Arabidopsis thaliana: one gene and its partner. The protein of the gene in region 1 interacts with the protein of each later gene in a pairwise test. Each region holds a gene or a part of one and is shown on either strand. Other genes may lie near its edges.

What was found.
Region 2: the proteins of AT5G35580 (region 1) and RBOHD come close enough for resonance energy transfer, tested with the Arabidopsis thaliana proteins (one study listed by BioGRID).

Annotation. Positions count from the first base shown.
Region 1 is NC_003076.8:13,756,110-13,767,879, reverse strand, and holds AT5G35580 (Protein kinase superfamily protein), read right to left. Parts: upstream 6,058-11,770; 5' UTR 5,937-6,057; coding exon 5,526-5,936; intron 5,431-5,525; coding exon 5,295-5,430; intron 5,212-5,294; coding exon 5,075-5,211; intron 4,866-5,074; coding exon 4,029-4,865; 3' UTR 3,774-4,028; downstream 1-3,773. Other genes in the region: PAA1 (proteasome alpha subunit A1), read left to right, coding at 112-187, 263-357, 515-596, 684-780, 920-978, 1,123-1,205, 1,949-2,044, 2,222-2,281 and 1 more. UniProt on the Arabidopsis thaliana protein: Involved in defense responses. Acts as a negative regulator of plant immune responses.
Region 2 is NC_003076.8:19,392,765-19,407,247, forward strand, and holds RBOHD (respiratory burst oxidase homologue D), read left to right. Parts: upstream 1-4,276; 5' UTR 4,277-4,820; coding exon 4,821-5,448; intron 5,449-5,540; coding exon 5,541-5,703; intron 5,704-5,896; coding exon 5,897-5,945; intron 5,946-6,290; coding exon 6,291-6,404; intron 6,405-6,845; coding exon 6,846-7,655; intron 7,656-7,753; coding exon 7,754-7,849; intron 7,850-7,996; coding exon 7,997-8,792; intron 8,793-8,894; coding exon 8,895-9,004; 3' UTR 9,005-9,297; downstream 9,298-14,483. Other genes in the region: AT5G47900 (heparan-alpha-glucosaminide N-acetyltransferase-like protein (DUF1624)), read left to right, coding at 1-32, 119-200, 284-360, 466-572, 648-765, 842-967, 1,048-1,139, 1,232-1,298 and 4 more; AT5G47920 (transcription elongation factor), read right to left, coding at 10,694-11,257; AT5G47930 (Zinc-binding ribosomal protein family protein), read right to left, coding at 13,659-13,779, 14,245-14,273, 14,371-14,472. UniProt on the Arabidopsis thaliana protein: Calcium-dependent NADPH oxidase that generates superoxide.

The DNA of each region.
Region 1 (11,770 bases):
CTCGACTCTTTTTTTCTTCTGTCTTGGACATAAAGCTTGATTCAATTCCATTCCTTATTGTTATATACACATCTCTGATTCAACTCCACCGAATTCAGAAGATCGAAGAAGATGAGTAGAGGAAGCGGCGCTGGTTATGATCGTCACATCACTATCTTCTCACCGGAAGGTCGTCTCTTTCAAGTTGGTCAGTACTCTCCGATTCCCACTCTCAATTCCTTTTCGAGCTCTGAAAACTGAATACACACTTTTGCTTTTGTAGAATATGCCTTCAAGGCCGTGAAAACAGCTGGTATTACTTCAATCGGAGTTCGTGGGAAAGATTCGGTTTGCGTCGTTACCCAGAAGAAAGTTCCTGTGAGTGAATCTCTCTTTTCATTGTCTCTCGTTTTTTTTAGGGTTTGCAAAAAAGTTGCGTCTTTTATTGAACCATTGTATGGATTTAGGTTTCTAGTAGATTGAGGATTGTTGGTGTATCTTACCCATTAGGGTTTTTGTTTTTGGGTTGGGACAGGACAAGCTTTTGGATCAGTCTAGTGTTACACATCTGTTCCCTATCACCAAGTACATTGGATTGGTAGCTACTGGCATTACAGGTTCGTTTCATGACCCTTTTATCTCCTCTTAAGCTGTAGAATTTATTGCTATGGATGGTAATTTGAACATGTGAATTTCGTTTTCAGCTGATGCAAGGTCTTTGGTTCAACAAGCAAGGAATCAAGCAGCTGAATTTCGGTTCACTTATGGATATGAGATGCCTGTTGACATTCTTGCTAAATGGTATCGTTGCTAATCGACTTGGTGTCTCTTTTTTCAGATGGTTCTTTAACTTCTTAGTGGAGGCTGGCTTATAGTTATTGATCTATCTAGCTCTTCTGTGATAAATGGTGTTGCTGATAAATAACTATTTTACTTACAGGATAGCGGACAAGTCACAGGTCTACACTCAACATGCTTACATGAGACCCCTTGGAGTTGGCAAGTTTGCTATCTTTTTCTTTTCTTAAGACCAATCTAGACATTAGTGCCTACTTGTGTTTGATGCGTATTATATCACCTTCACGTTTTGATGAATATTATTGGCTGACAAAAGGAATTTTCTTGTTGTCTCTCTTTATGAAGTCGCTATGGTAATGGGTGTTGATGAAGAGAATGGTCCCTTACTTTACAAATGTGACCCAGCTGGACATTTTTACGGTCACAAGGTATTATCTATCACTCGTAGCTTATACTTTAACTAAACTTGTCTTCTAATACTTACTGTTTTGATTGCTTTTGCTGGCCTGCATCAAGATTTATTGATAACATATCTGAATAATATCGTCTTACAAGCATATTGACATACACTACACACTATTTACTGCTTGTCACTAACATAGAAGAAAATGCCTCAGTCTATAAGTCATTGTGATAAGCATAAACGAAAAAAGTATAATATGACTATAGGAGTGAGTTAGTCATAATTGCGGAGAGTTTTGGTCATTTGGGTTGTTTGTGGTAAGCCTTTCAGACTTTGGGATAGGTTTGGGTACTCTATAAGATAGCATAACTCTCACTTTAGTTCTTTGTATCCGGTTGCTCCTGGGTTCATTAGTTTACTTGTTTTCATTTGTAGATTTACAGAGAAGAATAAAGGAAACTTTTTCAATCCTGTCTTTCTCATTTCGCTGATCTTAACACTTTTTAGGAATCTTATGTATAAAGGTTTTTAAGCATCGTGCTCATTTCTACTTTTAGTAACTGATTGATCCTAGGTTGAAACAAAACACGTTTTGTGTATCTATTCAATGACATGACTACATACAGGTTACACATGAGTCTTCTGGACTATATGACCAAGATCTCTAGAGGATAGGATATACAAAAAAATTATTCTCTCTCTCAAAAGTCGTAGATATTTCATGTTAATTGAAAAGCAGCTAATAGACAAGCAACTGTATTCGTGCAGGCAACTAGTGCTGGTATGAAGGAACAAGAAGCAGTCAATTTCTTGGAGAAGAAAATGAAAGAAAACCCATCTTTCACATTTGATGAAACCGTGCAGGTAAATTATTTGCATTATCTTTCATATTTTCCCTGCTTATGTTCGAATACGGTAACATATGTTCATTTAGCTGCTGATTACTTGTGCTGTTACTTTGTAGATACAAATCTATTAATATTCTTGATGAAGTACCAAATGCACATTGTTCCTCACGTTGATATTTTTATACGTTTGTAGACTGCCATATCGGCTTTGCAATCTGTTCTTCAAGAAGACTTCAAGGCTACTGAGATTGAGGTATACAAAACTCTTCTCGTATATGATGGCAAGTTTATTGTATCATTTGTGGGTTATATATCTTATCAAACCGTTTGGTGAAATGATAGGTAGGTGTGGTGAGAGCAGAGAACCCGGAATTCCGTGCATTGACAACGGAGGAGATTGAGGAGCATTTGACAGCCATTAGTGAACGAGACTGATCAACTTAGTGAAACAAGTGTGAGTTACGTTGCTTCGCTTCTATCAGACATTCCTCTAAAGTGACCACTCTCCATCGATCTTTTGTTTGGTCTTCCTTCCATAATTTAATTTACTTAGTCAACCCAGCAAACTTGAAAAACAAAAATGCACTGTAATGCTTAAGGCTGTGAGAGTTTCCGAGTCTTTTGACTCTTCAGAAATGACACCAACTTTACTCATATCATCACTTTCTAGCTTTTTATTTCTATCGTTGCAGTTGCTGTGTCTTCGTCTTCACCAGTTCTTAAACTCGAATTCGTTTTAAGGTTTCAGTTGTTAGAAAGTGAGGGATCATTCTTACCTTTCAACAAAAAAGGTTTAGGTTATGGATTCCAATTTTTTAGGATCAGTCAAAAATTTTAGGATCAGTCAAATTTTTTTTACATCGGCATAATGCTTAGGGCTGGGCATAAAATCCAAAAATTGATCAAAAATCCGGCTCCGAAACCAAACCGAACCGAATAGTCACAAAATCCGAATACATAATGGATATTCCTATCTGAATTATCCGAAACAAATCCGATCCGAACCAAAAATTGAACGGATATCCGCTAATCCTAAATAAAATTATATATCTAAAAATATTAGTTATAATTTATATCCAAAAAATACTAAATAGCAAAAATATCCGAAATAACTTTACTGTCCGATTTTTTTACTTTTATTTGTTAAAATTATACAATGTTTTGCAAAATTAAACCAAATTTTAGTAAAATTAAACGATTTTTATTAAAATTGTACAATTTTTTAATTTGTTTTTTTTTTAAATCAAAAACTGATCCGAAACCGTTCCGAATCTAACACCATCCGAACCGAAACCGAATTCGAATAATCATATAATCCGAACGGATAATAAACTCCCTCATCCTAATTATCCGAATCTAAAATAACCCGAACCAAATCCGCTCCAAAATCCGAAATTTTCATTATTAATGCTTGCAACACCCAAAATCACTCCTAGATAAACTTACTTGAGCCTAGTTGAAGGCCTATAGGCTATATGAGATGATCATTTTGCCCTGTGGCCTCTTAAACTTTAATGTCAATTATTTACAAAAGGAAAGTAAAGTGATCCTGAAAACTATCAATTAAAAAGTGAAGTATGTGTACATCATATAGGTTCGTGTCAAGCATTACAGACATAATGATTGTAAGTTTAGATAGTACTTTATCAAACTCCAGCTGTTAGAGACGTGGATGACTTAAAAAACATATAGACGAGTGATCTATAACGCGTCTTTCTATAACACCAAATGTATTTTTTTCTTTTCTTTAGGACCAAAAGTTATTACAACTTGATTAGAAAAACAACAATATGTTTAACACTTTTGCTTTCTTTGATTGAAGAATCAAACAAGGAAAAAAAAATCAACTTTACCTCTAACCAAAACCTATTCTAGGTATAGAAAGCAAAACCTAAACTAGATTTTTTTTGTTTTTTTGGTGGTAAGAATGTATTACTATTTACATCTTATGTAAAAAAAATGAAAAGATTACGAATTGAGGATAGAAGAGAACTCAGTAGTCAGTACCGTTCCCCTCCGGCCTCGTTACGCATTGGTGAATTATATCCGTTTCTCAAAGTTATCCGGTGGTTTCTTGCCGTGTGTGCGGGCGACCGGAACTTTTGATGGTTATCAGTCGTGGAAACGTTGCGAGGCTTGTCGAAGTTTTGAAGACTTGTCTCTTTAACTTCACGGCGTGTTTTGTCGAAGTTTTGAAGACTTGTCTCTTTAACTTCACGGCGTGTTTTGTCGAAGTTTTGAAGACTTGTATCTTTAACTTCACGGCGTGTTTTGTCGAAGTTTTGAAGACTTGTCACTTTAGTTTCACGGCGTGGCTTGTCAAAGTTTTGAAGACTTGTCTCTTTAACTTCCCGGCGTGGCTTGGTAGGAACGGTGTAAGTGAATATCCCAATGGGAATATCATCTTTGTAATCTTTGATGTCTTGGAGAACGGAGACAACAGTGCTAATGTCTGGCCTTGTCTTTGGTCGGTACCTTAGGCATTGATAAGCTAGAGTTGCTGCCTTTCGTGCTCCGGTCTCTGAGTACTGATCTTCAAGCCTCGGGTCCATTATTCTCCCGAGTTTACGTGCGTCGTTGAGCATTGGACGAGCCCACTCAACGAGGGTTTCTTTTCTTGATGATCTCGCTATGTCCACCGATTTCCGACCTGTCAACAGCTCAAGCAACACCACTCCAAAGCTGTACACATCACTCTTAGCCGTTAAATGACCTGTCATTATGTACTCTGGCGCCGCGTACCCTTGTGTGCCCATCACGCGAGTCGACACATGTGTATCATCGCCTTGTGGTCCGTCTTTTGCTAGCCCGAAGTCCGAGAGTTTCGCTGTATAATCCTGAAAAAAGAAATCAAAACATCAAAAGTCTATTCAAATCCAAAAGCAATTATAATTTTGAATGGTGACCATGGATGTAATTTGCGGTTCCACCATAATTTGAATAGAAAGAAACAAATATGTCCATTTTAGGTTATTGTCCGCTCTAAAACTAAAATGGTCTAGTTTGGTGTAACCCTTAAGATCAAAAAAGAAGAATGCTTGCTTACAGAATCTAACAAGATATTAGAGGCCTTGAAATCGCGATAGATGATGGGCTTCTCGGCTTCATGTAGAAACTGTAGACCCTTTGCAGCTTCATAAGCGATGTTCAACCTCGTTGTCCATGGCAGCGGTAGGGAGCACCCTGAAACAATTTCATCAGTTCTGGTTCTTAAAATGAAATGATCATTTCTATTTGATGGTTACAATAAAAAAAAGTCAACTCACTTCTGAAGAGTTGAGACTCCAAACTTCCACGAGGCATGAACTCATAAACAAGAAGTCTATGTGCTTCCTCGCAGCAATATCCGATCAGCTTCACCAGATTCGGATGCTTTAGTTTTCCCAAACACATAACCTCCGTCTGAAAAAAATCACCCCAAAAATAATATTAGTTAGACATTTAGACTCAATATTTTTGTATCTTAAACAGAGGACTAATGAAATGAATGTACGAACCATAAACTCACGGTGACCTTGAAGACCATCAAGATCAAGAAGTTTAACGGCAACGGGCTGAGCCTTAAGACCAGGACGGAGCTTGTCATCGATGAACCCTTTATGAACCGGACCAAACCCTCCTTCACCAAGAAAGTTGCTAGAAGAGAAGCTTTGTGTTATGACTCTAAGCTCTGCTTGTGTGAACACGTGGAGATCCGAGCCGGCGAGGGAGATTGAGAGATCTTCGGACAAGGTAGTGGAACTTGGATTACTTATGTCTAGAATCGACAATCCAAGAAACGATTTCTGTTTGGTAATCACACGTTCACCATCATCTTTCTTTGTCTTCTTGGGAGAATATATGTTGTCTGGATCTTGGAAACACAAAACCATCAATGATCTCCAAGATGATTTCTTCTTCACCGCCATTGTTTTGTTTGTGGAGGTGTTTTTTTTTCTTTTTCGAAATCTTCTAATGGTTTTGGTTTGTAATGGGAGAAAGAGATTTTAAAGTCGATGAGAAGAGGACCAAGACTTTGTATATTATTTCCTAATTCATATTTACTAACAACTATGTTACTTTCCTTACCAAAAAGGCAAAAAATTAGTGTTTTCTATTATGGGAAATAATAGTTTAATTAGAGAAAGAGGACGACGACTTCTTGAGGTAGGTTTATACTTCTTTCTGAAGTTTTAACCACGCTTTGACATTGTCATGTAATTCATGTTTAGACGAATAAGTTCTTAGTCGTGAGTGGACGGCTAAAAAGGAGAAGAAAATGACATGTTAACCTTTTTTCCTATAGAATTGTGAATACAATTAGATAATACCTTTTTCATACAATGATAGTTAGAATAGTAAAATTTTCTAATGGATTAGCTTTAGGAAAAATTAGCAAAAAAACATAGAAAACATGTAGTTTATTAGTTTTATGTTAATTAATGCCGTCAATGTGTTTCTTACCGAATTGATAAAAAAAAAAAAGCCCGAAAACATATGGTTTGGAAAAGCATTTGGATACTTAGAAATGTAAAAGATGAAGATTTATCAAAATGTCTATTACTATACTATATGTTTTTCAAAGAAACTAATAGATAGTCTATTATATAATTTACACTAATTTTCAGTTATTTGAATTCGATTTTTTTTTTTTTTTTTTTGAATATTTGGAAATTCAAAATTAAAAGACCTACATTTCCTACATGCGAGACCCACACTAGAATAAATTCATTTTATTTGACGAAGAAATCTCTCCCAACGTGTCTAAAACTCAATACCTTTATCTAAAAAATTTATTATTGGACCAACAACTTGTTGGTTATTTGAATTCGATTTGCCATCAAATATTCAAATATATCATTAGAAGTAACGGTAAATCTTCTTAAGACTAAATCCGAATATATTATAGTTTTTTTTAATATTAGTTAGAAATAAATTTAAAGAAACATTCTATGAGAATTGCACCCTATCTAATTCTACAAGAAATATAGTAAGGTCAAAATCAAGAATTAGTTGTCAAAATCATAGAAATTTCATTAAAATAAAAATATGATTTGGTAGAATTGCAATATGCGAGCGAGTCAAGCTTCTAGAAACACTAAGATAAAATATTACACAAATTATGTGAGCGCGTTGGCGAAGAAGGCGACTTGTTCACTCTGAGTTGTTGACATTTGCATTGTCCCACACAATGACGTAACATCATATGGAACTTTTTGAATTTGAAGCGGTTTTGAACGATAATAATTAATAGAATTTGCTAATTTGGTCGACTTTTTCTCTTACTTAAAATTAATGTGTACCGATTTCTACAATAACTACGTTTTGATTTCACGATGTAAAAATAATTGTTTCAAATGTTTTAGATGCATGAACTAAGGAAAAATATATCGAAATTTACCTACCACACTACTTTAGTGATGGTTTACATACCATAAGGGGGCTAGTCACGCGATCAGTCTAGTTTCTATGTCGCATGTTCAAGCCCTCATGCAAGCATGGGCCATGCTTGATAGTGAATTTTGTGGGGAGAGACCCTCATGCGACGTACCGGATAGAGGTCGGGAACTCTTTAAACTTGTTGTGTTAAGTTTCTTGGTCAATCAATCAAATGATCCGCACATCAAAAACTCTTAAGAGTATTTAATATGTGTGGCATAGACAATAATGGATAAGAGAACTTATAATTTCCAAGAGTTTTTTCTAATGTTTTCATGCCTATGATAAGTCAAACGATAAGATATATGTCAGGTGGTTTTAGTTACGAACCACCAATATTTTTGACATGACGGGAACTATCGAGTAACATTACATCTATCAAGATTTTAGGGATTGCATCTTTATAGGAATTTCATTGGTGGTTTCTAAATATAAGTTTCTTAACATTGAAACAACAAAAATAATATTATTTAATTATGTGTGTTTCTTAAATATTTTAGAAATTCTCTTAAAATTTTTTTATATAAGGTATTTTGGAGATGGTTTCTTGTTAATCAAGAAACTCACACATTTTTTTATAATAAAATTTATCTCTTTAAAATAAGAAACTTAAGTTTAGAAACCATTGATGAGGTTGCTCTTAGATGCATGAAAGCTGCCACCTCAAAATCAAATACTGACGTATCAATTGTTTAACCGACTGCGACGCCTGAGATGAAATTAATATTACATACTTTAGTTTTGGGTTTAGGGAAATTACAGGTTTCGCCTCAGAACCTCCTGATATTAAAAAAAAAAAAAAAATTGCTCAACCGACTGGCAGCTAAGGACGTATCATAGTTCAAATTGTTACCATAAATAATTTTTTTTGCAAGTAAAATGTTAAAACAAAAAAACGAATTTATACTTATGTCAGTTTACTTGTGTTCAACTACAATTAATTGTTAGCAAATTGTTATCGCATACAATTATTTATCAGTTATGACTATTCATTAATACTAACAATTTTATCTTATCTTCATCTTTAGGACTAATTATGCTAGGAAAAACGGTCATTTCATACCCCAGCTAAAGTAGTATGTTCAATTCATACCCAACGTTTGTTGTTGTGCAAATCCATACATTAACAAACCAAATTTTCAAATTCAAATCCCAAACTCACACCATTCATGTCAATACATGCCTAAGCCGTGACGGTGTTACGAAACCGTTAACGGTTGCTCACGTGGATGCCACGTATGACACGACGTCGTTTTAGATGAAAGAAGAGACAAACAAATTTTTGTAAAACGACGTCGTTTTTGTCGTCTTAAATCACCTTCTTCTTTTTTCTTTCTTTTTCTTTCACGACGACAATGTTCCATAAGCATCTATCGTGAAGAGCTTATATTAGTGGAATAGGAGTTCCAGCTCATAATCTCTATTGTGAGGAAGGAAAATGAGGTAATTTTCATTCAAATTTATGGTTTATAAAATTTAGGTTTTTTTTTATCAAATCATCAAATTGCGAGTGTATTGTTATAAAATGTAATGAATTCCTTTGGTATTTCTATAGTTTAGATGAGATTGTGGAGTTTTTTTAGTTGATAAGCGATATGTAATTTTATGAACACCAAGTGTTCGATAAAATGTCACAACCAAAAACTCACTTTATTTCTTTCTTATTCAGCACTGAAGATGCAGTTTTTCAATGCTACTACGGTGGGAACTTTGTTGTAGAGAATGGGATTAAAGTTAGTTATGTTGGAGGAGGTATTCTCAGCCTTGAAAGCAAACCACAAGTAGTATTGACTAATTTGATGGAGTCATTGAACGAATCTATTTGGCAGCAACGAATTTGGTATAAGCTTCCATATGAGGAATATTCAGAGCTTAAGCAATTGTGCAATGGAGATCAAAACTTTCAAAGAATGTGTCTTGCCGCAGTTTGGACAAAAGTTGTCGATATTTTTTTGGAGAAAGAAGAAAATGGTGATGCTGGAGATGGTTCTCATGTTGATAGAGTTGTTGGTGATGGTTCTCATGTGGATAGAGCTGTTGGTGATGGTTCTATTGGTGATGGAGCTGCTGGTGATGGAGCTGTTGGGGATGGTTCTGAGTGTGATAGAGTTTTTATTGACATGGAAGCAAGAGTTGAGCAGAACTTAGCAGGCTTTGTTGATGAAGAAGAGCATGATAATGATGAAAGTACCCCTCTGAACTCAGATTGTGAGGAAGGTGAAAGACGATATGTTAGATGCAAGAAAGGTAGTGGCGATATTAGAATAGAGCAAGTCTTTGACAGTATAGCTGAGTTTAAGGAAGCTGTGATTGACTATGCTCTTAAGAAAGGAGTCAATATTAAGTTCACAAGATGGGGATCAGAGAAATCTGAAGTAAGGTGTTCTATTGGAGGTAACTGCAAATTCAGAATTTATTGTGCTTATGATGAAAAAATTGGAGTGTACATGGTGAAAACATTCATTGATGAGCATGCATGTACAAAGGACGGGTTTTGCAAAGTTCTCAAGAGTCGGATCATCGTAGATATGTTCTTGAATGACATTAGGCAAGATCCAACATTCAAAGTGAAAGCAATGCAAAAAGCTATTGAAGAGCGGTACTCATTAATTGCCTCCAGTGACCAGTGTCGGAAAGCTAGAGGAAAAGCATTGAAAATGATTCAAGATGAATATGATGAGCAGTTTGCTAGAATACATGATTACAAGGAACAACTTTTGGAGTAAGTAAAATATCTTTAAATCGATTTTGAATTTGATTCTTGTTTTTGTTTACAAGCTTATCTAACTTTGAAATTTGTTGTTGTAGAACAAATCTTGGTTCAACAGTGGAAGTTGAGACAATCACTATTGATGGTATAGTCAAGTTTGATAAATTCTATGTGTGCTTTGATGCTCTCCGGAAAACTTGGCTTGCGTATTGTCGCCCAATAATTGGCATAGATGGATGTTTTTTAAAAAATAATATGAAAGGACAACTCTTAGCAGCTGTAGGAAGAGATGCCAACAACCAATTCTATCCGGTTGCGTGGGCAGTCGTGGAAACTGAAAACATAGATTCTTGGTTGTGGTTTATTAGGAAGCTGAAAAGTGATTTAAAACTGCAAGATGGAGATGGTTTTACTCTTATTTCAGATAGGCAAAAGGTTCGTTTACTATATCTAATGTTCTTCTCATTTTGAGACTATTTTTAACATTGTTATAACAAGTGCCATTTAACATGTCAGGGTTTACTCAATACTGTTGATCAAGAGTTGCCTAAGGTGGAACACCGGATGTGTGCACGCCATATATATGGAAATCTTAGAAGAGTTTATCCTGGAAAAGATTTGTCAAAGAATTTGTTCTGCGCTGTTGCAAAAAGCTTTAACGATTATGAGTATAATAGAGCCATTGACGAATTGAAGCAGTTTGATCAAGGTGTGTACGATGCAGTAATGATGAGGAATCCACGCAATTGTAGTCGTGCTTTTTTTGGCTGCAAATCAAGTTGTGAAGATGTTTCTAATAACTTCTCTGAATCTTACAACAATGCGATTAATAAAGCAAGGGAGATGCCACTAGTGGAGATGTTGGAGACAATAAGACGACAAACTATGATTCGTATTGATATGAGGTTGAGAAAGGCGATTAAACATCAAGGAAAGTTCACTTTGAAAGTAGCCAACACCATCAAAGAGGAAACAATCTATCGTAAGTATTGTCAAGTGGTTCCTTGTGGAAATGGACAGTTTGAGGTTCTTGAAAATAATCATGGCTTTAGGGTTGATATGAATGCAAAAACATGTGCATGTCGAAGGTGGAATATGACAGGGATTCCTTGCCGCCATGTCTTGCGAATCATATTGAACAAAAAGGTTAATCCTGAGGAACTCGTCAACTCTGATTGGTACTTGGCATCGAAAAATTTGAAGATATATTCTGAGTCAATCTCAGGAGTTAATGGTATTGGATTTTGGATAAGATCAGGTGAACCTAGGATTCAACCACCACCACGACCAACAGGTACCAAAAAGAAAGAAAAAAGAAAGAAGGGCAAGAATGAGTCTCCAAAGAAGAAGAAGAAAGGAAAAGGAGTACAAGAGCCTCCAGAAAAGAGGACCAAAGTTTCAAAAGAAGGACGGAGCATTCGTTGTGGACGTTGTAGTACCGAAGGTCATAATACAAGAAGTTGTCCTAGTGTGGGAGTCGTTAACAAAAGGTGGCCAAAGAAGACACCTGATGGAGTTAGTCAGTCTATGAGTATTGGTACCAATGAAGGAACAAGCCAACGACCAAGCCAACCATCACAGAATTCTCATTTTGACTAAGGTAATATAGGTTTT
Region 2 (14,483 bases), 5.6 Mb from region 1:
TTGTTGGTGTCTCTCTTGCCTTTGCTTACAAGGTAACTTCTTTTTTTGTTTATTCTATGTTGGAGTCTCATTCTTCAATCCACACTAGCTTGTTGACTCACTACATGTTTGTTTATAGAACTTGTCATGTAGGTTTGTCGCAACAAGAAAAGCTTTGATTCGATCTTTGAAACTTCTATTACTTGGTCTTTTTCTCCAAGGTTTGGTTCTAATTTTATATTCTTAACTCCAAAGGTGTTGATGATGTGATATATGACATTCATTATTGTTTTTAACTTTTCAGGAGGATTTATTCATGGTCTTAATAACTTAACTTATGGAATAGATGTAGAAAAAATTAGACTCATGGGTATATTACAGGTATACATATCTAGTGTTTTCTCTAGAACTAGCATTAAAAATTATGTGTTCCAACATTCTTATTGTAATAGTATTAGTATTTTCTTTTGTTTGTTATGTTTTCAGAGAATAGCGATAGCATACTTAGTTGTTGCATTGTGCGAGATTTGGTTAAAGGGAAACCATAATGTTAGCTCAGAGTTATCTATGATCAAGAAATATAGATTTCATTGGTAAGTGTCTTAATCTTGAGTTTGTACACATATGATGTTCATGCACTTGTTTGATTTTGTCCTGGTATTTGACAGGGTGGTTGCTTTTGTTATCACAACTATATATTTGTCCTTGTTATATGGTTTATATGTACCTGACTGGGAGTATCAGATTTTAAAAGAAGACCAAGGATCAACATTGACAACATTCTTGGTTAGATAATGGTTTCTTCCTTCTACAACAACTTAGTTACATATTCTGTCGCGGTCATAATATCGAAACTGTTTAGAATCTGAAGGTGAAATGTGGGGTACGAGGTCACACTGGACCAGGCTGTAATGCAGTTGGAATGCTTGACCGTATGTTTCTAGGAATCCAGCATTTGTACAGAAAACCTGTATATGCACGAACCAAGGTTCTAGATTTTAACCCAAGTCCTGTTTTTCTCAATCTTTGTTTTATGTCCATTTCATTTGATCTCTTATATATTCTCAGCAATGCAGTATAAATTATCCAAACAATGGGCCATTACCTCCAGACGCTCCTTCTTGGTGTCAAGCGCCTTTTGACCCCGAAGGCCTCTTAAGGTCTCTGCTTCTACTCTCCAAGAAAAATATTAAATAGTAAGTTGTGTTTTATCATTGTTCAGAAAATAACTTGCAAGTTTGTTTAATTGTAGTTCGTTGATGGCCACCGTAACATGTCTAGTGGGTCTGCACTATGGCCATATTATCATCCACTTCAAGGTAAACATATCTTTTTATGAAGAAGTTCGGCTGCTCTGCTCAACTCTTAGCTATATGTCTCCTCTATGTAGCATATTAGAGCTGTTGTGTTTTGGTTAGAGAAATGGTAGTAAGGGACAGGTTTATAACGAGCCTTCAATTAGCATAAGACGTACGTTAAGCGTCTCTTGTTAGTCTAGTCCCTATGGTTTTGGTGAATTGGAATAAGAATATCAGTTGTATAGCATTTTTTTTTATCTTATCAGAAACTTACTTGTTGCTATATGTAATTAACTTTTTACAGGATCACAAAAAGCGTTTGAATCAATGGATTTTACGTTCTTTTTGTCTTCTGATGTTAGGTCTCGCACTGAACCTCTTTGGTATCTTCCTTGACTCTTATAGCTCTCATTTACATCATTTGTTGTCCTAATTCATTGCAAGATCAAAATACCTTAGTAAATCACATGTCATTCGTTTTTTTGGTTGCTTGCAGGAATGCATCTAAATAAACCTCTATACACATTGAGTTACATGTGTGTCACCTCAGGGGCCTCGGGATTTTTGTTATCCGCGATATACCTAATGGTTTGGTTTGCTATTATCTTGAGACTCCTAATGAAAGCATCACTCATGGTTAAAATGTAAATCTATCTCTCACTATCTTCACAGGTCGACGTTTATGGATACAAACGAGCAAGCCTTGTGTTAGAGTGGATGGGAATACATGCCTTACCGATTTACGTTCTCATTGCTTGCAATCTTGTCTTTCTAATCATTCATGGATTCTACTGGAAGAACCCCATTAACAATCTCGTAAGTTTTACTTTCGTTTTTTTTTTTACCGTTATTAACGTTTTGTGTTGGAGTTCAAAAATGTTATTGTTGTTTGCAGCTTCATTTAATCGGAATCGGAAAGTAAAGAAGAGAAGAGAAGGGAGGTGAAGAAATAAGTTTCATCAACCAAAACCTTAATTGTTTTTGTTAGAAATAAACAAATGCCATCTTCATCTTCACATCCCATATGGAATCCAATTTATGCTATACTTTTGTAAACATACGGTATATCGTAGAAAAATTAAAACTTCATGGCTATATAAGCAAAGCCTTTTGTCGAAAATACACATGTTGGCAAGTTGTGGGAGCCACCAACATAAGCATATTATATTCAAACAAATGTTCAATCGCACATGTGATGGTTTAGCGATTTAGCTACCGCACAACTGAATCAAAAGACTTGTTAAATTGCTCTCTTAGTCTTATCATACCTTCATCTCATATCCATTATAATCATCTTTAGCAATACTATTTTATTTTTAACTACGAAAAATAAACCTTGTTACGCCGTTATTAACAGTGATCATTTTTTTCGTTAAAGAAATTTAACATTCAAAAAAGATAAAGAATGATCACCAATAAGCGTCATGATCTTCCGTATGGTGATGATAAACATCGTTTGCAGTTTTGTTGTATAGTACAACGTATATGTAGCCGTAACGTGTGAATAGTGTATGGTTAGGGTCATTTTATTTGTGAACTACCACAATTTTGATAGCAGTGGAGATAAGTCAAAGGTTCGTCTTCTAATTAATTAACAGCGATTATTAGACTATCTAACTTTTCTTCTTTTCTTATTTTGATAATAACTATATATCTTCTTTAGCCACCTTACTTTCTCATCGGGTTCTATTTAAATAGGGACAAAGAAAACAAACCATCGATTTGTACTATGTGCTCAATTATATCATATGTTTTGTCTCCATCTATGTATCTATTTCTCTTTTCCATTTGGTAAATTATTTAAGACCCTTAAACTGACTTTTCTCGTGGGCGGCGTCGAAGTTTTGGTTAACAGACAAAACATCTGTTCATGATGCCTGCATAACTCTATGTTTTTATACTACTCATTTGCCCTCTATTTCATGCTACTCTTAAAAATAGCTAAATAAAAATACTTCAATATTAGAAAAAAAATCTTCTTGATGTCAAAAATACACTTTAGATATCCCCTCTAGTTCTTGTGATGCTAATATATTACAAAATTGTTTATATATATAGAAATATTACCTCTAGCAATACAAAAATCTTGTTATATCAATTAAATATAACACTATCCGACTAGTGTTTACTAAAATAACACATAATTTTTAATTATGATCTTTGAATTTTAGTTTATGTATTACGCTTTATAATTTTGTTATCAAAAACTATAAAAGCTCAAAAGTGAGCATCTATACCCTAATTCCGTTTTTATGCATACACTTAGGTTTATTTTTATTACGAGAATCTGTGTTTAGTATATATAAAATAGAGTTTATGAATGACTAAGTTAAATACTTCAATACTAATTAAAGTAAGTCGTATTGATGCAGACAATATAAACTTTAGATATCTCCGCTAGTTTGTATAATGCTAATAGATTCAAATTGTCTTTATGTAGAGGAATTACCTCAAATAACATAAAATTTTCATTTTATTAATTAAATCTCATTTTGTCATTTCAAAAGTCATTTTAATTACTGTGTTATTTGTCTAAAGTATACTCCAAACAAGAAACCAAAGTAGAAGGTCAGTGCCCAAGAGACAAATAAACTTAAGCATGTCCACTCTTTTTAGCGATCGGATCGCTTATCTGTTCTTATCCATTATGGAACATGAACGATGTTCCTTTAAGACTACCACATTCAAACGAAAAATAAGTCATCGATGATAGACTGGATAGTTATAGTTTGATGATCTAGCTAATTGACTTTCATATTTACATAAAACAGAAATGTGTTTTTATCAAAAAAGAAAAAAGAAAAAACAGAAAATGAACAATACATCTCACATGGAGTTTGTACAAGAATCCATAATAATTTTTTGTTCGGTACAGTAGGTTAGATATACATTTGAATACAGTTTACAAGCCAAATGTTAGAAGCAACATATTTATATAGTATCATCAATATACGATCCAAAATGAATTATAGATTGACTTATGGAAAAGTTAGATACTATATGCATGATTGCCAAATACATTGAAAAATAACAATTTAAGTTCTTCAAACAAAAGTTTATAAATGACTCGGTGTTTGACATAACTCGGGGTTGTTTTTCTTTGTTAATTCACACACGGGGTTGGTGTATAAATGACTTCGGTGTTTGAAATGTATGACACGGTATAAATAAAAAAGGTAAGGAAGAAATGAAGAATAGAAGAAGAACAAAAAAAAAAGGAAATTAAAAAAAAGTCAAAATAAATGGTCAGTAAAGGATTTTGACCAGACCGGAGCGGTCCATCCATAGTTTCCCACTACCTTCCCTGATTTAGCACAGAAGAATGGCAATTTGCATGCCATTTATTTCATCTATTCCTCCTTCACTCTATAAATATATTTTAAACAAAATCAATTTCTTCCATACACAAAAATCAAACACCTTTTGAGAGCGGTTATTTTTTCTCTATCAACTAATACAGTAACCTTACGGGTGTTTATTTGTATAGATCTCTGTGGTTTTCTTGGCCAAATCTAGTGAGATCTTTTTGGTTTCTCGAATTCGATGAAAATGAGACGAGGCAATTCAAGTAACGACCATGAACTTGGGATTCTACGAGGAGCTAACTCGGACACCAACTCGGACACGGAGAGCATCGCTAGCGACCGTGGTGCCTTTAGCGGTCCGCTTGGCCGGCCTAAACGTGCGTCCAAGAAAAACGCAAGATTCGCCGACGATCTTCCCAAGAGAAGCAATAGTGTTGCTGGCGGCCGTGGTGATGACGATGAGTACGTGGAGATCACGCTAGACATCAGGGACGACTCGGTGGCCGTCCATAGTGTCCAACAAGCAGCTGGAGGTGGAGGCCACCTGGAGGACCCGGAGCTAGCCCTTCTTACGAAGAAGACTCTCGAGAGCAGCCTCAACAACACCACCTCCTTATCTTTCTTCCGAAGCACCTCCTCACGCATCAAGAACGCCTCCCGCGAGCTCCGCCGCGTGTTCTCTAGACGTCCCTCCCCGGCCGTGCGGCGGTTTGACCGCACGAGCTCCGCGGCCATCCACGCACTCAAAGGTCTCAAGTTCATTGCCACCAAGACGGCCGCATGGCCGGCCGTCGACCAACGTTTCGATAAACTCTCCGCTGATTCCAACGGCCTCTTACTCTCTGCCAAGTTTTGGGAATGCTTAGGTAAGTAAATCACTTCTTACTAAGCAATTCTATTAGTACTATATGTTTCCATTTTTGTGTTAGTCTCATTTTTGTTTTGTTTTTTACTCTAGGAATGAATAAGGAATCTAAAGACTTCGCTGACCAGCTCTTTAGAGCATTAGCTCGCCGGAATAACGTCTCCGGCGATGCAATCACAAAGGAACAGCTTAGGATATTCTGGGAACAGATCTCAGACGAAAGCTTTGATGCCAAACTCCAAGTCTTTTTTGACATGTAAGCTTTTTTTTACATATCTTCACCTAACCCACAATAAATATATAACGCGTAATCACTATTTGTCGTTTAATATTGACTCTTAATGAAAATTAAACGGTCATCAGAATTTAAGGACCAAAAGTAGTAATATTAATCATTTGTGGAGTTTTGGTGGATTTGTAACTAATATATGACATCACTGTTTGGTCAGGGTGGACAAAGATGAAGATGGGCGAGTAACAGAAGAAGAGGTGGCTGAGGTGAGAAAACACACACACCACTCAATAATTATCTTTTTCAAATATTTTATTATATTTATACATTTTTTTTATCTTATATTTATTCATATTCCTGGTTGAATTTTTTTTCTCTTATTTTATACGTTATTCTTGGTTGATTATTTTGACAATTTTGTCCACGCGCAAATCCCCACTGACTTTATCTGCTGACGTTTACTATTAACATCATCAATATATTAACTTCATGTGAACACGACAAAATGGTAATAGATAGATAGAGTAGTAGTCTTTGTTACTTTAGCTTAGGTTATTAATGTTTCAAATACTTTAGCTTTTGTTTTCTAATTTGTTGGTAATTTATTGCAGATTATTAGTCTTAGTGCTTCTGCAAACAAGCTCTCAAATATTCAAAAGCAAGCCAAAGAATATGCGGCACTGATAATGGAAGAGTTGGACCCAGACAATGCTGGGTTTATTATGGTACGTGTGGTCCACTTTCACCCACTCAATCACACTAATGGTATTATGTACGTCGTAAATTTAACCACTCTTAAAATACTAGAAAAAACGTGGAAAAACATAACGTTCTAGAAGTCTTTAGTGGTCAAAATTGGGTCACCATGATGTTTTTTAATTTCCAACTTATTGGGCCATCTTGAACTTTTTACCAAACCAATCAACAAAATCTCGACAATGGGTGGTTAGTGGTTACGATATGAAGAAATGACCAATAAAATTGTAAAATATATGAACTAACACTATAATCCAAGCTTAGAAAGTCTTAGGCGGCTTCCGATAGTATATTGTTTTTTAATTATTGGAGAAACCTATGAAAAGTGTTTTTAAGAAAAACAGTTTGGAACATTAATGTTTTATTGTAACGTTTTAGTTAATTATATGATATGGACATTGGTGAAACAGATCGAAAACTTGGAAATGTTGCTATTACAAGCACCAAACCAGTCGGTGCGGATGGGAGACAGCAGGATACTTAGTCAGATGTTAAGTCAGAAGCTTAGACCGGCAAAAGAGAGCAACCCTTTAGTGAGATGGTCGGAGAAAATCAAATATTTCATACTTGACAATTGGCAGAGACTATGGATAATGATGTTATGGCTTGGCATCTGTGGTGGCCTCTTTACTTATAAATTCATTCAGTACAAGAACAAAGCTGCCTATGGTGTCATGGGTTATTGCGTTTGTGTCGCCAAAGGAGGCGCCGAGACTCTCAAATTCAACATGGCTCTCATATTGTTGCCTGTTTGTCGAAACACCATCACTTGGCTTAGGAACAAGACTAAGCTTGGTACTGTCGTTCCTTTTGATGATAGTCTTAACTTCCACAAGGTTATTGCAAGCGGGATAGTCGTCGGTGTTTTACTCCATGCGGGTGCCCATTTAACGTGTGATTTTCCACGTTTAATTGCCGCGGATGAGGACACCTATGAGCCGATGGAAAAATACTTTGGGGATCAACCGACTAGCTACTGGTGGTTTGTGAAAGGAGTGGAAGGATGGACTGGCATTGTGATGGTTGTGCTAATGGCTATAGCCTTTACACTCGCGACGCCTTGGTTCCGACGTAACAAGCTTAACTTACCTAACTTCCTCAAGAAGCTTACCGGTTTCAACGCCTTTTGGTACACCCACCATTTGTTCATCATTGTTTATGCTCTTCTCATTGTCCATGGTATCAAGCTCTACCTCACAAAGATTTGGTATCAGAAAACGGTACTCTCTTCAAACCTCATTTTATCTGTTTTAATTTCTTATTTTCTTTCCTTTTTCCGGTTAATAACATTTATTACCTGTTTGTATGATTCTTGTAGACATGGATGTATCTTGCTGTACCCATCCTTCTATATGCATCGGAGAGGCTGCTCCGTGCTTTCAGATCAAGCATCAAACCGGTTAAGATGATCAAGGTCAGATATATTTCTATTTATCTCTTGAAAACCTTATGTTTCAAGAAATATTTCAACTAATACTTTTAAACCATCTTATTTTATAGTTCTTTTTGATAAAAGTTTGAAAATTGCCTTTGAACTTAATCTATATATATGTAACAACAGGTGGCTGTTTACCCCGGGAACGTGTTGTCTCTACACATGACGAAGCCACAAGGATTCAAATACAAAAGTGGACAGTTCATGTTGGTGAACTGCCGAGCCGTATCTCCATTCGAATGGCATCCTTTCTCAATCACATCAGCTCCCGGAGACGATTACCTGAGCGTACATATCCGCACTCTCGGTGACTGGACACGTAAGCTCAGGACCGTTTTCTCCGAGGTTTGCAAACCTCCTACCGCCGGTAAAAGCGGTCTTCTCCGAGCAGACGGAGGAGATGGAAACCTCCCGTTCCCGAAGGTCCTTATCGACGGTCCATACGGTGCTCCCGCACAAGACTACAAGAAATACGACGTGGTACTCCTCGTAGGTCTCGGCATTGGAGCCACGCCTATGATCAGTATCCTTAAGGACATCATCAACAACATGAAAGGTCCTGACCGCGACAGCGACATTGAGAACAATAACAGTAACAACAATAGTAAAGGGTTTAAGACAAGGAAAGCTTATTTCTACTGGGTGACTAGGGAACAAGGATCATTCGAGTGGTTCAAGGGAATAATGGACGAGATTTCGGAGTTAGACGAGGAAGGAATCATCGAGCTTCACAATTATTGCACGAGTGTGTACGAGGAAGGTGATGCAAGAGTGGCTCTCATTGCCATGCTTCAGTCGTTGCAACACGCTAAGAACGGTGTGGATGTTGTGTCGGGTACACGTGTCAAGTCCCACTTCGCTAAACCTAACTGGAGACAAGTCTACAAGAAGATCGCTGTTCAACATCCCGGCAAAAGAATAGGTAACTAATCTCGACCGTTAATCTCGTTATGTACGTGATGTTGTATAATAATTAATAAAGTGATGAATTTAGACTAAATACTAATATGAATTTTGATTGCAGGAGTCTTCTACTGTGGAATGCCAGGAATGATAAAGGAATTAAAAAATCTAGCTTTGGATTTTTCTCGAAAGACAACTACCAAGTTTGACTTCCACAAAGAGAACTTCTAGATTAATTATATACGTTGTAGAAAAATAAAACAAGAAACAACTATACAAATAAATATTTATTTTAAATTCTTTTCATTTTTATGTAAAATTATCTGAGTTATCTTTTTTTGTTCTTCTATATCCCTACCGTTTTGTTGGTTACTTTTTCACTACTTAGTTTAATGCCAAATTAAGTATAAGATAGTAGAAGTTTATATAGTTACAGCTTTGGTGTTGTAAACATGTAATCATGGAGTTATCTGTACTATTATTTTGTACTTATATTCGAATATTAACAACTAAAGATAGTTTTGATATTCAATACCCATTACTCATTTAACATAATGAATAGAGATATCAACATTAGATACGTCTTGATTATTTGCTCACCAATGCATTTGCGTGTTTAACTTGTTTATATGTTATTAATAGTGTTCTTTTAGTTAAAATGACAAATAATTTCTTAACTCAAAAGCATCTTATATCACAACTCTAGCTAGATTAGTTTAGCTTTTCATAAGTCTTCTTGCGTTTACGTCTTTATTTATGGGTTGATACCCTATTCACTACTTTAATTTGCCTTGCACTTGGGATAGTTTAAAAGACTTTAAAATTATGCAGCTAGAATATAATCAAAACTTGATATAAGTATCAAAATAATTAAATACAATTGCTATCGATAATAATCAGAAACAATCGTTATGAATGGTTAAGTTTGTTTCCTTAAAATGGTTACGAATGATTAATTTTGTTCCTTAGGTAAACTAAAAGTTCAAAAACAAATCCAACCTACTACAATCTAAGAAAACTGACAAAGTTTATGGTTGATTACAGAATAGGTCGCTTGAGCGTCAAATTAAGATAAAGAAGGAGACTTATGTAGAGCCGGCCCTTGGGCCAACCAGGCGAAGCATAGGTTTGCAGCTGCTAATAATATAATTTGAGTTTGGCTTTTTTCTAGAAAACTTTCTTTAAGTCTAGTGGTTCAATTATGGTGGGTACATCATCAGTTCATGGGTTTGACTTTTGAGACAAGTGAGACCGAATTTTTTTGTTTTTTCAACAAAATTCTAAAATAGATAAAACTTATGCGGCCCATTTCATTGTTCACTTGTAGGCTTGTAAAACTCAAGGCCGGGTCTGGAGTGTGATGTCAAGACTCAATATTATAACACTCTACTTCATATTTCACTATTTTGTGCATTATCTAGCTTCCAATTTTCTTTGCATTTCACAGTGTATCAATAGTTACTTTAGTGATGTCAAGATTACACTTTTAACACATTTTAAGTGTAGTTTTACAACATAAACTTGTGTCTCTAATTGGCAAAGTGAATTGCTAACGAGATCATGAATTCTGACTGTTGAGTCTGAGCGAATGAAACAAATGGACCAACATATGATTAAGGCCTGGAGTGACATATAAGCCAAAAAATAATGCTCTATATTGTAACACTTAAAAGATCTTACACAGTACGGTCTCAAGGAGGAAGAAAACATATTCCGCAAAGCAGATCCTTCCTTCAACTTCAACATATTAAATGAAAACAGATCTAAGAGACCGTAATATTTCGATCCTAGAAAATAAGAGAACTCGAAGGATTTATCATAGACAACACAAAATAAGAACGTACGTTAGCAAAGATCATAATATGAATCTATTATTCATATCTATTGCCAACATGTTTATATATATATATGGATATGGGTTTAGGTGCCTCGGGCTAGCATTTCTTGATACCTCTTGAAGGACAAGAGTTTCTGAAGCTTCATCTGCTTATGAAACCTAGAAATAAAGAGATCCGCGACATGGTCGATCTCATCTTCTAGCTTGAAATTCTCTCCTTCTTCTTCCTTCGAGGTCCTCACCATATCTATCACAGAACTACCTTGACCTTCCTCCTCCAAGTCCCCGAAGTCCTCCTCTCCTTCGAACAACGTGTGCCTCAGATCAGGATACTTGTCGCTTTCCTCCTCGTGAACGTCATATTCCTCATGATGAGCCATTGTGGATGCCTTGCTGTTGTAGAGGACTATAGCCTTGTTCTTGTCTTGGTCCTGGTCGTTATCGTCGTCTTGATCCGCATGGCCCAAGAGGTGGTGAATCTTGTTGGAAATGGAACGGAACCCGAGTTTCTTGTGTTTCACTAGAGACAACATGAGTACTCGTGTCTTGAAAGCACTCGTTTTGTTCTTTATGGCTATAGATTTTGCCTTCGCCATGGAACTCAACAATGCAACGATATGTTTCATCAATGCCGTAGCTTTCTTCATATTTTTTCTTTGTAAGAGCTTCTATAATAGTGTTTTACTTATGTTTTGGATGTTGCTTAATTAGCATGGAAAGGAACATTGGAGGTGAGAGCCCTTCGGGGATTATATAGACCATGGAAAGGTACGGCCACAAGTCATGGCTTTATGAGTCTTGTCGTATGTTTTTAAATTAACGGCTATATGTTTTACTTAATGGCGCAGCAATCTTCTCACAGTTCGCCACGTGGAAATAAGCCATTTGATGTAGTGGATCACTTGCTTTTTCTAGTTCAAACTTTATGCACGTTCTCTTTTATCAAATTTCATCGTGCCTACAATTTACGAACGTAAGCATTTGATATTTCTATATTACTTCTTTCTATGATAAAGGATCTCAAGAAATTAAGTTTATGTTGATTTCGTATAAAAATGTGGCCTAACGAGGTTGCTTTGCCGATGAGTCGGGTATGTTTTTTCTTATAAAGTATCATGCGACATAATTCATGCCTACTATGAATTTAAAATGGTTATTATTTTTCGACTAGAAGTCATGTTTGGTACGTCAAAAATATGGACAAAGTTTTTGTAAAGCCAACATGGCGTTTTTAACATTCTAAATGTTTAAAGGGACTCTTGAGTGGTTCGGGTGTTGAGGCCTCTAGACTCCGGATCATACGTTCCAACAATTGGAGCCTCTAGTCAACAAGTGGACTCTAGATCGCATTGTTGCGGTATGGTTATGAGAGAGCACTTCTGAAGAGCTTCAACATAAAGAATTTCGAGAGTAAAACATCTCAAACGGTTTTATTTACGCGTTTTGCATCCCGATCGATTAATCTCTGAAATCCAAAAATTCACCCCCAACGAGTATAGTTGAAATGGATCGATTAGTCTCAAGTGGAATAACTCTTCTGTAACTTCTTTGTTTGATTTTTGTTTTTGTGAAGAATGTACTATTTAATAAGAAAGATTAATTAGAGCAGTTGGGACTGAGATTACAGAATTTGTAAATGACATAGATACATCCACAAGGAATTCAAACTATTGTCCACTTCTTCTTTGAAAAGATTTGATTGATTAGCAACTTTGTTTTTAAATGTGATTAACTTTACATACGAAAGCAATTGTACAGCTAAGTTATCTAAATAAAAGTGTCATTTGTTACCCAAAAAGAAGTTCCATCAACTTTGTGTAAAAATATGTTTTTATAGAAAAAAACTCAGAATTAGGAAGATGCTTCAGTAAAGTTACAAAAACAGCTTAAGAGATCCAAACGTAAATTCATTGTACTTCTCTCACAACTACTTTTACTTTAATTTTTTTAATAGCTATTCTTATTTACTTTTTCTAAAAATCACAAAGATGAGATGGAGAAAAAGCATTTGATGTTTTTGTATAATTGGAAAGTGTTTACTCACTTGGTCTCTCTCACATTTCAAGGCGCCGCGAAATTGCTTGCTCATGATATTTAGCTTTACAAGATTCTCTTTCACTTAGAACCACACTTCAATCCCTATACTTTTCTAGATTTCTAGATTTTAGATATTATACATTGTCGATGTTGAAAGGAAAACATAAGATATTATACATTGGTCTTGTCATTTATCAATTATTAGTTTTAAGATTGATGTCAAAAGGAATAGTTTCATTGCTCAGTATCCAAATTTGCACAAAACGAATCGAGTTGTTTCGATTTTAGACAATAGAGTACAACCGATATTAACAAAGAGTTTCTTGCAAAAAATGGGGTTCAATTGTTGTAGTATGTCAATATGACCATAGATTTCAAAAAACTTCTCCAGCTCAGAGTTTTAGATCTCAGCCCGTAAAACATATTTCCAGTCTTAATGCATGTTAGAGCCTCGAGCCATCGGATAAGACATTCCCATATTAGATTGCAGAAGAGATAAAATTGGAGCATTGTTTAGAACAATTCTTATTCCAATTCATCAAACCAGAGACTAAACTCTCAACCAAAAGCTAACATCTTACAAACACGTCACTCACCGATGTGTAGCGTTCAGTCCTAACCTAGTTAGCTAAAGTTTAACAACTTCATCAACTTAACTTCATAAAGCAGGCCGAATATCTCATGTTAAGTCAAGTCTGAGTATCTTCTAGTCATAGATAGCAATATTACAATTCTTTTGCACAAGTCATTAAAATTTAACCAAGGTTGTTTGTTCAAATTAAAGAATTGTAAACATGAACAAGAAGCCAGACAACTGATGCAATCCGAGAAAGATTTAAACTTAAAATGAAAGCATATTCTGTTTCAACAAGACCAAGTTCTGAACAATTACTCAGCTAGTAGTTTTATCATGCATTCAAAATCTTCTCATAAGCAGAAAAACGTCATAGATATCAAAACTACTAAAGCAAAACATCTGCGAACGGATGAATGATTCGTGAGATCTCAATCTCACTTCTTCCTGAAAGAGCATCCCTCTTGTAGCCTCGCTTTACCACCGGTGGGCTGGCACAGAACTGTCTGACAGTTTCCACATACCACAACAGTTTGAGAATGGCTGAACACAGTGGTTCTGCAAAATAACAACAAGCAATTCATCACAAAGTGTAACCTCTTTACAAATTCACAATCAATACTTATTTAAGAGCTGGAAAAATTCTACCAATACCAAACTTCTAGTTGATAAAACAGCATTTAAGCTGAGCAAAATCGACAATTCACAACTGATTCAATAAGAAAACATTCAAAATAAGGTATCTAAAACACTAGTTTCGTACCAATCTATATATTCAAGAATACAACATTCAAATCAATATGTTTTTAAGTGTAACCTCTTCACATCAATACAAATTCAAATGATGAACAATTTCTTCCAAATACCAATCAATAGGTTCAATAAAACTTTATTCAAAATAAGCAAAACCAAAATCACTACTAATCTAAAACAGTGAAAGCTTTCCTCTTTATAAAACAATCTTTATTCAAATCCAATACCAAACAACATTGTTAAGACTCTATACAAAATTAGTAAACTCACATGTTGAAGCATCCCTGACACTTAACATCCTGAAAAAAATCACACAAACAATACAGAATCAGATTCATTTCATCGCATCAAATGTAATACAAATCAGATTTCATAAAAGAAAACAGAAAACAGTACCATGAAGAAGGAGTTGGGAGATTGCACGAGACGCTTGAGCTTATGCTTTCTCTTCTCAAGCTCAGGTGGCGGATGAAGGAGATCGATGTCGTTTTGGAGCACCTAATCAACAG